2 linked regions of the Nothobranchius furzeri genome follow. The protein of the gene in region 1 purifies or fractionates together with the protein of each later gene. This does not show direct contact. Links are inferred from orthologs where the notes say so. Each region holds a gene or a part of one and is shown on either strand. Other genes may lie near its edges.

Region 1 (6,534 bases):
GTAGAAATTTAATGTTAGCATTTCTAGTAGCTTACTACTGAACATGTTAATGAAATAATCACATTCTACTCATTATATGTGAATATTTTATATATGTTTTTTGACTAGAATGAGGTAAATACAAACTTAAATAGTGAATGAAATGTAAGTTAAATGTTGTTCCATAAAATATTTAACTATAAATATCAGCTGGGAAAGGGGGAACTAGACAACACCAATTTAATATATATTATTGAGCCTTTTATAATTTTGCTTTTTATTTTCATATTTTTAGCAGCAGACCATGATCTCATTTCACTTGAAACATCATCTAATAGAATACTCGATTAATCGATGTAAGATAAGATAGAATACTCGAATACTAAAATATTCGATAGCTGCAGACCTACATACAAGCTAAAGCATATAAGCATAAAGCTGTGAAGATATTCTTCAACCCCTATTTCCATTCCATTAGCCACTGATAGAAAATATACAGGTCAACGCTCAAATGGGAGAAGCCAGTGACATCGTGTCATCATGTCAAGTTAGCCTTCACATACTGCCCCATCTTGGCTCGTAACAGGGGAGGCTGTTGTTGGTTTAGTGTCCAGAAGAAGGTAGAGAACTTACTGGCCGGTAGAAGCTAACCGTTAGCATTAGCAACTCCACCATACAGCAGAACTTCTCCGACTTTGTGTTATTTGTGGTGATAAAGCATCAACGTTACAAAGTAAACAAAGTCAGAGGTGAAGTCACGTTGCTGTTAGCCAAGCAGAGTCAAGATGTTCAAATATCAGTAAATAAGACTCCAAATCCTGCTGTCTGAAGCTCACCTCTGCTGTGGCTCACTTCTACCTTCTACCCCCTGAAACAGGCGTACCAGAGCTTTATGTTAAAATGACCTGTATTTGATATAGCGCCTTCTAGAGTCCCGGAACCCCTCAAGGTACTTTACAACACAATCATTCACACTCCCATTCACACACTGGTGGGGATGAGCTACAATGTAGCCACAGGTGCACTGACAGAGGCGAGGCTGCAGAGCACTGGCGCCACCGGTCCTTCCGACCACCACCAGCAGGCAACGTGGGTTAAGTGTCTTGCCCAAGGACACGACGACAGACTGAGCGGGGCTCGAACCTGCAACCTTCTGATTACGGGGCGAGCACTTAACTCCTTTGCCACCGTCGCCCCACTGAGACATGAAAATTCTTGGTAAATAAAAAACCTGGTCTGAATACTTAGGACCATGTGATATTTCAGTTTTTCATTTTTAATAAATCTGCTTAAATTCTTTAAATTATTTGTTTTTCGGTCAATATGATGTGCTGTTTGTAATTAATGAGGAAAAAATGGCAGAGGATCCCCAAACCCAGGTGTAAGAAACTTGTTGCATCGTTACCAAGAAGACTCATGGCTGTATTAGCTCAACAGGGTGCTTCTACTAAATACTGAGCAAAGGGTCTGAATACATGTGATAGTTCAGTTTGTCTTTTTTAATAAATCTGCTTAAATGTCTAAAATTCTATTTGATTTTAGCAAATGTCTGCAATATAATAAAGAGTGAAAAATTGACGGGGGTCTGAATACTTTCTGTACCACTGTATATACTTTAATAGATAGTTGTTCTAAATGTTTTATTCCTCTGATGGTTCCCTTGCTAACAGCCTAGCAAACAAAACCTCTGTTGCTGGTGCTATTTGAAACGCAGTAACTCCTTTTTCTAGGTAACAACAGTTTGAAAATGTGTTTATTCCCGTCCCACTGAGATATCTTTGCTCCCCTTAAGCTTAGTTATATTTCTGTGTAAAATATTAATGAAATCTGTCTCTCCTTCCCTTAGGTCGGGGATATTGTTAATGTGACACGAATGAACATCAGCGGCCAGTGGGAAGGCGAAGTGAATGGACGAAGGGGTCTCTTCCCTTTCACCCATGTCAAAATTATAGATCCCCTGAATCCTGATGAGAGTGACTGACTCAGGAGTTGAGCTGAAGCCTCTCGACACGTACCTGAAGCAGCTGGCCGTGTCTGCCTCTCCCCAGCGGTGTCGCCATTATGTTCCTGCCTGCTTGGGGGCTGTGCTATGACGGTGACCCCATCTGTTCATGTTGCCAGCTGTGGCAAGGCTTTCTGACCGTTTACAGCTGTGGACACCAGAGCTCTACGAAAACATGAACTATTGTCCCTTAGTTCATTTTATCTTTCTGTCGTATTTACAGAGGGCAGTTTTGTTTTCCAGAACATCACTGGGCATCAGTCGTTTTTGCATGTAAAAGTGTGCGCACGTGCGTGATATGTCTTTTTTTTCTCTCTCTCCCCCTGAACATTTGTCTTGTCAGAAGTCTTGGAGAGTGTGTGTGTGTGTGTGTGTGTGTGTGTGTGTGTGTGTGTGTGTGTGTGTGTGTGTGTGTGTGTGTGTGTGTGTGTGTGTGTGTGTGTGTGTGTGTGTGTGTGTGTGTGTGTGTGTGTGTGTGTGTGTGTGTGTGTGTGTGTGTTGCAAGGGAAAAGGCATTATCTGTGTAACCTTTAGAGCACTGGGCCAACGAGGAGCTGACCAGCCAGTAACCCCCCCCCCCCCCCCCCAAATCAAGACCCTGTTGTACCACACACGTTTGGCTGTGAGTTGATGAGTGACTGATTCATTTCTGTTTTAATTTATTTTTATCCGTAAAATCAAAAAGATTGAGAAGAAAAGGCATTTCTGCAGTTTTTTGCCATAATTTGCCACCATTTTTATGTCCTTGTGTTGATTCCATTGCTATCTTTGTTTGTGCCATCTGATCAAAAAATTGATTTTACTTATCTTGAAAACTTCAATGCCATACAGTACCTCTTTAAAATTAGTTAGACATTTTTTGGAGTTACTGTGACCAAAACCAACTTTGTCCCTCTAAGTGCCAAGCCTCTGCCTGGGTCATTAGTAATATGGTCAGCTTTTCCCTCCAGAAACGACTAAAGTCTAAAATGCTCCTTTTGGTGACGGGCGCCAGGGTAAGCGAGATGTTCAGCAAACCAATGAAATCCCACGAATGCCTTCTGAATAAGACTTCTGCTTTCAGTGCATGAGAGCCCATCTCAGACTGACTATTTTAAATGTTATTAAAAGCTCGGATTGTGCACGTCTTTCTTACTGTGCAACAACCAGCAGGACCTCAAGATTGAACAGAACTAACGTAAAATGTCTCTTCCCTCTCCATCTCTAATTTGTGTGCGTGTGTGTGGTCAGACTTGGCATTTAAATTGTGCTTTTAAAAGTTTTTTTGTGTACGTGTGTCTTTTAAAGTGACTTCCAAAAGGGAAAAATGCCTGCTGGTTGCCCTACGTGCATGATCTCTTGACCGAGGAAACGGTTCACCTGGACGAAAAGCTGCTTTTTGTTATATTTTATTGGATAAAAGTTTTAATTCTAGCTGGTATGCGTGGACATCCGAGTGGGTTTTTCATGTTAAAATTAATAAATTCTAATCGAGCAATACACGCTGATAGTTTCCTTACCTGAGGTGAACTTGCTTTTCTCTCGCTACCCAGTTATTTCATAAAGACATTAACAGTATTACGTGCTCTCGCCTCGTATTCTAGGAAAGCCTGTCCTTTACTTAAGAACTGAAAATTGTGCCTTTTTATTTTCTTATGCCATTTACATGTGTTAATATTTCCCATGGTTAACACCTGTGCTGGTATTGACCCTTTATGTACAGAACAATTAAATAAAAAGTATGTCTACTTCTTTAACCTGTGTGTTTCTGCTCTTGCCTATTAGCTTGTTTGTGCTGCACAGATGGGTGTCTGCAGCCATCCTCTGTTGTGTTTCTGGAGTGCAGGATGGTTGTATTTGCTCTCATTTTTGACAGTTCCAGTTTAGAGTGCCTGGGCCCAGGAGAAAGGAAGCAATTAATGAATTTTAATGAAGTGCTAAGAAAAGAACATCAGCTGACCCAGAGATGAAGAATGGCAAGTTTTTCAAGGGCAGAGTTTCAGTTGTTTGTCCGGGACAGATGTTAGCGATGTGCTGTAGGTTCTAGAAGTTTGTTACAAAAACCTCGCTAGTACGGAGTTGGACCCACTTTGTCTTCTGAACTGCCCTAATTTCTCACGATGTAGACTAAAGGAGAGATTCTAGACGCAGAGATTCTGGTCCTTGCTGCATCATTACACCGACAGCAGCATTATGCTTTGATGAGGCAGGATGGATTCATGCTTTTTAAACTAAATTCTGCAGCAACCATCTTGAAGTTGCAGCTGAAATGATACTCATTAGACCAGGAAATGTTTTTCCAGTGTTCAGTGGTCGGGTTTCGATGAACCTTTGTGAATCGTTGCCTGCGTTTTCTTCTAAGCTGACAGGAGTAGTGGTCTTCTGCTGCTTCAACGTGTGCTGTACTGTTGACCTCATCTTGAACTGGTGCCTATTTGAGCTGCTGGTGCCTTTCTCTCATACAGAACCAGTCTGCTCCCATTTGCTGTTCACTCTCTGTAGACCCTGTTTCTTTAACAAAATTTGCTCATGACCTCTAGATGCCTGAATGCATTGAGCTGGCTGACTGTAGATGGTTGTCTTAAGCAGATGAACAAGTGTACCTATGAAAAGGTCAATAATTTGAAGTCAAATGATTGTCTGTGTGGAAGACTAAGGGATCCTACCATTGACATAACCTCCACTCTCCCTGCCTTAGGCTACAGTAGAACGTCTGCATGTGCACTATCATGCAGCTTATTGATTGGGCTTTCCAGGAATACTGTTAATGGCTCACAATCAGAACCTTAATTCTGGTCCACAAAAGTCCTTCAAGTATAATTAAAACTGCTTTTTTTCTGATAAGAGAAAAAAAAGTTTAATTCTAATGTTTTGGTAACTATAATTAAGTGTATGTAAACCATAGGGTTTAATGCATTCAGTATACACGCTTGTCATCAAAGATAATCAATGTATTCCTATGGGCAGCAGGTGATTGGTCATGGCTCCTGTGTAAATGAGCGTAATGAATCAAACTTAGCCGAGTCTGACTTGTCCTCGAGGCGCAGCTTGTGTGTGTTAATGTGTATGTAAATGGATTTGTGTTGAGGTCGATGATGGCCTTTCTACAGTCCATTAGCATTGCTGCTTTTAGGCCAGCTTCGGTGCCAGATGGTTTAGAGTGTGTCCCAGTTTAAAAAAGGGCTTTAAAGTATTAATGGAGAATATATCTGCATGTAAAGACGGGATCTCCGAAATTAAAGTGTAAAATGGATAAATAATCATCTCACTCTTGTAGGAAGAATGCTGCAAGAGTTTGTGTTTATGGAAGAACTGTTGAATGACCTTAAACTTCCTTTAAATCAAGGTGGCTGATTTTTAGTAAAGTTTTTAGAGAAGCATCAGTTTTGTAAAAACCGAGGAAGTTAAAATGTGACAACCAGATTTATAAAATCATAATCTAAATACTATTTGACATTTCCTCCACAAATCTGATAATGCAGTTCTACACAGAAGCAACATGTTATATGATTGTAATTTTTTTCAAATAATCACAGAATCGATGGATAAGTGAGTACATAACCCACACACAGGGGCGTGTCCAGGGAGTGGCCTGGGGTAGCACATGCCACCCTTGGAATCTAATTGGCCACCCCAGGTGCCACCACACTAATTTCCCTTTAAATAGGCTTTTCATTGTCTACAAAAGGCTTGAGGGTAAAACAAAAAAAAGCATAACCATTGGTGCCACCCATGCACAAAGTTGTGCCTCACCTGGGCCACCCCATTTTAATAGATCTAGACACGCCACTGCCCACACATCTGAAATGAGTTAAATCTGGGAAAAGCCCTGACTACATTATGAGTCATGTGAAGCACATTTGTGTTGCCATTTAAACTCGAGCACATAAACGGACCCCATCTGTTCTCTAGAACTGATCCTAAAAGCAACAGGTGAAGAGAGACAGGACGATCTTGGTTTAGAATAACCATAACTATAAAAAACACATTTTATTTGATCATAATGACTGCTGAAATATAGCGACTGAAACAGTCGTCACTTTTCATGATGTGTATGTCTCTTTGTAAGCATTTTGCACAGTGGTATGAAGCTATGTCGCTGCATGTGCTCTAGAAAATTCTATTGCAGCTCTGCTCCCTGAAGCTTTGTGTGTGTCCCAGATTTTGTTTCTATCTCTCATAAAACATTCACAGTGCAGCAGACCTTCCTGCCTTCTGCTGGGGAGGCATGCCAGACTAGGATGGTAATTCAACACGAGCTGTCTGTCATCTCTTCACCAGGTCAGACGCAATCCTCTTGGACTACATCTTGCTGCTCCAATGCTATTCTGCTTTCTTACGCATCATTGTTGGTGCTCGTACTTTTAACATCTGGGGATGTTTAATCAAGTGTTTACGGCATGTAGCGACTGAAAGCTACCATAGCCTGATCTGTAAAAGGGTGTTTTCTTTTTCACAAAATGTCCTCAATGGTGATCATCAACAGGGAGTTTAGTAGCCCTTCCACGGTAGGGCTCCACTCCGCCCAGATCTGGTAGGACGTGTTCACATCCGGTCAGCCAGTTCTTTTTTTC
Region 2 (7,654 bases), on another chromosome or scaffold:
GCAATCTGTTGTCTACATACTCTGGCGGAGACCCCCAGCAGATCTGGACTGTCAGAAGTCGGGTGGACCTCCCGGCACCGGGATTTCGTAGATTAAACTCGAATATATATATATATATATATATATATATATATATATATCTGTATACGGTATATATATATATATATATATATATCTGTATATATATATACAGATATATATATATATATATATATATATATATATATATATATATATATCTGTATATATATATCTGTATATATATATATATATATATATATATATATATATATATATATATATATATATATATGTATATATATACAGGGAGTGCAGAAATATTAGGCAAATGAGTATTTTGTCCACATCATCCTCTTCATGCATGTTGTCTTACTCCAAGCTGTATAGGCTCGAAAGCCTACTACCAATTAAGCATATTAGGTGATGTGTATCTCTGTAATGAGAAGGGGTGTGGTCTAATGACATCAACACCCTATATCAGGTGTGCATAATTATTAGGCAACTTCCTTTCCTTTGGCAAAACGGGTCAAAAGAAGGACTTGACAGGCTCAGAAAGGTCAAAATAGTTAGATATCTTGCAGAGGGATGCAGCAGTCTTAAAATTGCAAAGCTTCTGAAGCGTGATCATCGAACAATCAAGCGTTTCATTCAAAATGGTCAACAGGGTCGCAAGAAGCGTGTGGAAAACCCAAGGTGCAAAATAACTGCCCATGAACTGAGAAAAGTCAAGCGTGCAGCTGCCAAGATGCCACTTGCCACCAGTTTGGCCATATTTCAGAGCTGCAACATCACTGGAGTGCCCAAAAGCACAAGGTGTGCAATACTCCGAGACATGGCCAAGGTAAGAAAGGCTGAAAGACGACCACCACTGAACAAGACACACAAGCTGAAACGTCAAGACTGGGCCAAGAAATATCTCAAGACTGATTTTTCTAAGGTTTTATGGACTGATGAAATGAGAGTGAGTCTTGATGGGCCAGATGGATGGGCTTGTGGCTGGATTGGTAAAGGGCAGAGAGCTCCAGTCTGACTCAGATGCCAGCAAGGTGGAGGTGGAGTACTGGTTTGGGCTGGTATCATCAAAGATGAGCTTGTGGGACCTTTTCGGGTTGAGGATGGAGTCGAGCTCAACTCCCAGTCCTACTGCCAGTTTCTGGAAGACACCTTCTTCAAGCAGTGGTACAGGAAGAAGTCTGCATCCTTCAAGAAAAACATGATTTTCATGCAGGACAATGCTCCATCACACGCGTCCAAGTACTCCACAGCGTGGCTGGCAAGAAAGGGTGTAAAAGAAGAAAAACTAATGACATGGCCTCCTTGTTCACCTGATCTGAACCCCATTGAGAACCTGTGGTCCATCATCAAATGTGAGATTTACAAGGAGGGAAAACGGTACACCTCTCTGAACAGTGTCTGGGAGGCTGTGGTTGCTGCTGCACGCAATGTTGATAGTGAACAGATCAAAACACTGACAGAATCCATGGATGGCAGGCTTTTGAGTGTCCTTGCAAAGAAAGGTGGCTATATTGGTCGCTGATTTGTTTTTGTATTGTTTTTGAATGTCAGAAATGTATATTTGGGAATGTGGAGATGTTATATTGGTTTCACTGGTAAAAATAAATAATTGAATTGGGTATATATTTGTTTTTTGTTAAGTTGCCTAATAATTATGCACAGTAATAGTCACCTGTACAGATATCCCCCTAAAATAGCTAAAACTAAAAACAAACTAAAAACTACTTCCAAAAACATTCAGCTTTGATATTAATGAGATTTTTGGGTTCATTGAGAACATGGTTGTTGTTCAATAATAAAATTATTCCTCAAAAATACAACTTGCCTAATAATTCTGCACTCCCTGCAGATTAGATCTGACTTTTTACAGATTAGAATTTGATGTTTATTATCTCACCTAAAATCTAGAAGAGATTTGTTGTCATGTTTAAAAAAACGTTTTGTTTCTGAATTAAGAAAAAAATGGCAAAAAAGTATGGATATTTTTTTTAATGAGATGCTGATGTTAGTGGAAAATTAATTAAAACAAACATAAAAAGATCTAAAAAATATTACGGGTACTTTTACTGTCATTCTGTTGTGGAAAACATTCAATGAAAACTCTGAAAAGCTGCTTAAACCTGCATTTTTTTATTATTGTGGGCCGATCTATGTTATTAAAATGATCAGAGCCACTACTGAGTAATGTGGTAACTTGAGGGGAACAGTGAAATAGTAAAGCTTTTGCTGTATGCTTCTTCATGTTGAATTCAAATGAAATATATACAAGAAATATTTAATAATAAGAATAATCATTGTATGTATATGTAACAGTGATGTTAGGGCTAAAAGGCAGAATATACGTTTTGTGTGTTTGTTTTTTCTCATTAAAGTGGAGCTTAACGTTGTCCCATATTTGAGTTGTCTCTGTCCCACGTGTGCCAAGTTGGGATCTGGTCACCCTTAGGTGTGATGCGAGCGCCTCTACTTGGAAGTCATTTGGCTCACGTGCCCGGTTATTTTTGGGCACTGGAGCAATGCAGGGTGTTCTCCAGAGGGTGGGCATTCCCCCAGAGTCACCCCCCGTTCGCCTCCTTGTCATTAGTTCTATTGTTTTGTCTTCCCATGTGGAGCAGCAGTCCACAAACCAGTCGGTATGGTAAGTGCGCAGCTCCAGAGATTCACGACTAAACCTGCGTCTGTTTTAAGGGCAGAACAGCAGAGGCGCTTGTGCATGAACGTTATGAGTTTGGTAATAAAAACGGTTCAGTGTGTGTGAGTGTAAAGCTCAGGGGAACGCTGATGAATGATGTGGAAGAAAAAAACATTATAGTTTATTTATGAAATGTAATCATTTAATAGTAATTATCACAGAGTGGTGGCTGTGGTAAATATTGGTATAATATTACAAAATGATGCCTGATATTTGTTGTATTGAAAACTTATTTTAACATACAATCGATCATCAAGGGGGTTTCGACAGTTCTCAGAAAAATTTAGTAAAAACATTGAAAAATGTCCGTTCTCATAACTCGGGATTTAGTTTTTTGCATCAGAAGACCTGAAAACTGGCGACGGTTACTGAAAGTTTTGTTTGAAAACCATTCCTCACACATGGGGGGGGGGGGGATTTTTTTCCTGTCTAACAGAATAGGGGGAGTGAGCAGGAAGGGGAGGAGCCAAAGAGAGGGAGGAGAGGAGAGAAGGAATGTCTGAGCTGAGGGATTGTGTTTGGTTATGGAGGGAGGAGTGATTCTGTTGGGAAATAAGTCTCTCAGGAGGAGGTGTGACTGCGTTAGTCAGCAGACGCGGAGCAGCTCTGGTGTGTGTGTGGATGAGCTCCTCCCAAACAGGATTCTTCTCAGCCAGGGAAACGTGTGTGAGGACAGAGCTGATCTGAGGTCCTGAGTTGTTTTGGGTTCTTCTGATTCAAACTCCTGCCGGCTGGAGTCTGGTGCGAGGTTCTGCTGGTTGAGTCTGTGGATTCAGACGGGATCTTCACCTGATCTGACTCCCGACCGGCTGTTGACAGGGTGACTGACTAACCAGAAACATCAGGATGAGCGGAGCGGCAGATGTGGTGTGTGAAGGATGGCTGAGGAAATCCCCACCAGAGAAGAAGCTACGGAGATACGTGAGTCCTCTCAGTTTCAAAAACTCATCTATTTCTTTATTTCTAACTAGATTAAACACACTCCACCGGCACTGGACTGGTGTTGATGGATGCTCATCTGAGTATTTTTTCTTAACTTTAATCATCATCGGTGTGCTGTCACCGTGGACGTGAGTCATTTCCTAAAGCCATGACTGTAAAACAATAAACACGTCCAGCAGAGAGCAGCCGCTGAGCTGAGACCCAGAAACGTTCTCATCTAACTTTTGTCTGCTGATAATAAACCAAACTGTTAAATCTGGATCCACAGCACCAGGTTTCCATTTCCTACTGTAAATCTTTAACAGTTAACTCAACGGTTAGTGGAAACGACACAAAGTTCATTCTGCATCTTTAAATTCAAATCTCCAACACCTGATGCCAGAGAGCTGGATCGGACACACACACACACACACACACACACACACACACACCACATTTCTGACATGCCTTCCCCGTGACTTGACCTAATCTCATCTCTCCTCCATATTTCCTCCCGTTTGCAGGGAGAAGCAGAACAATGTCTGCGGTCTACTCTTCCATCACTCTTTCTCTTTCATTTGTTGTACTCTCTCTTCCTCTCCTTTGGTCACATGCCTTCCTTTCTCTGTTTGTACGGAAAGTAAAGGAGGACTAAATCAGAGCAAGAGGGATCTATTTTTAGTAGCGTTGCTGTTTGAAACCTTCAGTTCAGAGAAAACGAGCTCAGATATGGGACATCCCAGCATGCTTCTAACGAATCAGCTGGTTTCAGAGATGTTTGCAGGAAAAGGTTTTTAGGAGGGAACCACTGGACAGGACAGGCGGTCAGCAGGGGAAACCAAAGAGGAAGACATCATAAAAAAGATTTAGTCCTCGCATGTACAATCTAGCACACACACACACACACACAGCTATGTTTCCATTGTCAACACCATAAAACCAGACTCGAGCGGCCCTAAAGGCTGCAGCAGCCTCCACGTGTTCCTGTAAAGAATGTGGATGAAGTTCCTGCTGCAGCCTACCTCCTCTTAACCTCCCTGCTCTGTCGAAAGCAGTGTGTGTGTGTGTGTGTGTGTAGGAGAAAGTGCGTTCGGGTGTGAGAGAGTGTGTGTTGCGTAATAAACTAATCGCTCTCAGCTGGGCCTGCCTGGAAGCTTTTAGGGCATCTGGAAACGCGGAGAGAGCGTAAACGTGACGTCGCTGACGTCAGCGGGTGTACGCGTCACAGATGCGTTTATGACAGTCTGACGGGAGGGAAGCTGACCTGAAACTTGTTTTCAAATGTAAACAAGTCTGATTTCACATTGTTGAGTTTTATTCTTCATCCTGTGATGGAACCATTAAAAGTTCTCCATGACTTTCGGGATCGATAAATGAGTGAGCCACAGCCACCCTCTGAGAGTCTGATGGCGACGTCACGTCTGAGGTTTCATGGACTCGGCTCTAAAGTTGGTGAGAGAGAATCGACATGTAGAGGGTTCATCTAAATAAGGAGATGTTTCTTTTGGGGGTAATTTTAGTTTGGAGGCAGGAAAAGGGAAGAGATATTTTAACTCTATTGTAGCTGCTTCCGGCTGAGGTCAAAGGTCAAAGGAGCAAACATCAGGAAACCAGAGGAGATCGCTGCAGGAAAATAACTTATCTCTATTATTACTAATATGTCGCCTTCACATGATTAAATCAAAAATAGAACACTTCTTCACAGAATAATTTTTAAAAAGCGCTTTTTAAACTTTTTTTATTCTCTGGTTCAGTTTAGTGGTTAGAAATAAAGTTTTATGTGGTTTGCTGATGTTGCTCGGATCAAAACTCATCTGTCATCAAACCTCTCCAGTCTCAACAGTGTTTTTATTTTTTAACCAAATTACTATTTTTTATGCATGAATATTAAAGTCAGACATGTTCATGGAAACAGGCGGAGAAAGCACGGAGAACGCTAATATTTGATCCTGTTGATTAGAATCAGGATCTACTTAAAACATCACCCTTGTTATTCCTAACATCTCAGGGAGGGTGGGGGGTTGTGGGGTGGGGGGGTAACGCCTTATGTTTATGTTTATTTATTTGGCCGACGCTTTTATCCAAAGCGACTTACAATGTATAACCTATAGGGCATGTTGTGATCTGTGGGGGAAACCGGAGTACCCGGAGGAAACCCACGCATGCATGGGGAGAACACCCAACTCCACACAGAAAGGCCACAGCCGAGTTTCGAACCTGCAACCTTCGTGCTGCGAGGCAACAGTGCTAACCACTGCGCCACCATGCAGCCCTGATTATTTCATTTCATTTATTTATTTAAGGACCGTGCACATTAATATACGTTACTGTAAATGTGCCAGTGTTAGCCAGCAGGCTAATTTTCAACTGTAGTCCAGTGGCAAGATGTTATACTGAACACGATGGCTAAGGAGAAGAAAGAAAGAAAAAAACAAGAAAAAAACAGATTAAATGAGCATAGTAACTAATTAATATACAATTAAAACATAACACACAAAATAAAAACAAAATAGAAAAAAGAAATAAATAATTCATATACAACTCATTAGAGAATCAAAAGTAAGTGATAACTGAATAAAAAAAAATTACGAGTTAAAGAAAATTAACCATTTGGGCTCAAAGGCCCCCAGTTGGGGAATATTAACCCTTTGATGCATAACGGTCACTAAAGTGGACAGGTACTCAAAATTGTTATTTATTTAATTTTGCCATTAAGCACAGCTGTTGAAGACTTTAATGAATTTGAGCTCCTCCATTTGGACTTCAGTAAGTCAAGCCAACATATTTCGGTACAACTGAGGTGGACATGTAAGAAATTATTTGTAAATTATTCAACGTTATAAAAAATATTGGTTGAAATTTGTTTCATTCACACCCAAATATGTATGAAAAACAATTGTTTCAAAAATCTTGGTTGAAGATTTCATAATTCATGCATCAAAGGGTTAATTCATGCTCTAAATATGAATCGTTGTCGTCAAGCTGCACCTCTAAAAATACATCAGAACCGTAGCTGCACGGCCACGCAAGCATTTCTTATGTGCTCCCAATCAGTGTTGGGAGTAACGCGGTACATAAGTAATTAACTACTGTAATGCATTGCTTTTTGCTGTAATGTGGTAATGTAAGGCATTACAGGGAAAGAAAATGGTAATATTTACTCGGTACAATTGTCAGTAACGCGGTAATTACAATGCATTTTTAAACCCAGAATCTAGATGCGGGTTTCCTAAAAATTCTAATTGCGGGAAGCCTGAAAAAAGATCCAGTATCCACATATATGACGTCATTTATGGACTCAGCTTTGCGGGCATTCTATGAGCAGAGAGGACGCAGTGGTAATGGCTCAAACACTCCAGCTGCGTCCTGCGCGCGGCCGCTATTATATTCACAAAATCGCTCCACCAAAACAAAGTAATTCGTTTGCGATGGTTTATATCAGCCCATATTCTCTGGTACTTCATGTACTTTTCAGCTGAGTTCATAATCTGTGCACCGGTGATTTCAACTCCTTGCTGCTGGAGTGCAGCGCAAAGCTTTTTTTATTTATTTATTTATTTATTTATTTTTGTGTTCGGTAGATCCCTTTGGCTGATTAGTTAGAAACTAGGAAATCTAGTTTACAGTTTTTCTAGAAGACGGAGAAAACATGCAGCATGCAGGAAGGTTAGAGAGAGAAAGGGCAGGAAATTATTCACATAAAATCAAGAAAACAAAACAAAGTGCTTGAAAAGAAAAAAGTAGGTAGATTTATCCCCAACACACATTTTTACCAGTGAAAAGCAATAATATATAAGCATTTAATATTTATACATGTGATAGAATCAGATCACCCCAGAAGTCAGTCCCACATCCAGGGCCGTATCAAGGCATTTGGGGACCAAGGCAAATATAGGCTTGGAGCCCCCACCACCTCACTCCCTGCTCAGCTAATCTAAGATGGCAGCGTGCTGAGAGTACAGATCATTGTTGCTTTTATTTAACAAACAATCATTTTAAAGCACT

The links. The genes of interacting proteins can lie anywhere in the genome.
Region 2: the proteins of crkl (region 1) and GRB2-associated-binding protein 1 purify together in Homo sapiens (affinity purification with western blotting; 3 studies listed by BioGRID and IntAct, with this or other methods). This does not show direct contact. The link is inferred for Nothobranchius furzeri from reciprocal best matches to the Homo sapiens genes CRKL and GAB1.

What each region holds. Positions count from the first base shown.
Region 1 is NC_091746.1:46,866,615-46,873,148, reverse strand, and holds the end of crkl (crk-like protein), read left to right. Parts: intron 1-1,825; coding exon 1,826-1,960; 3' UTR 1,961-3,717; downstream 3,718-6,534. UniProt on the Homo sapiens protein: May mediate the transduction of intracellular signals.
Region 2 is NC_091742.1:87,971,591-87,979,244, forward strand, and holds the start of GRB2-associated-binding protein 1, read left to right. Parts: upstream 1-3,213; 5' UTR 3,214-3,574; coding exon 3,575-3,649; intron 3,650-3,680; exon of another isoform or gene 3,681-5,080; coding exon of another isoform or gene 5,081-5,101; intron 5,102-7,654. UniProt on the Homo sapiens protein: Adapter protein that plays a role in intracellular signaling cascades triggered by activated receptor-type kinases. Plays a role in FGFR1 signaling. Probably involved in signaling by the epidermal growth factor receptor (EGFR) and the insulin receptor (INSR).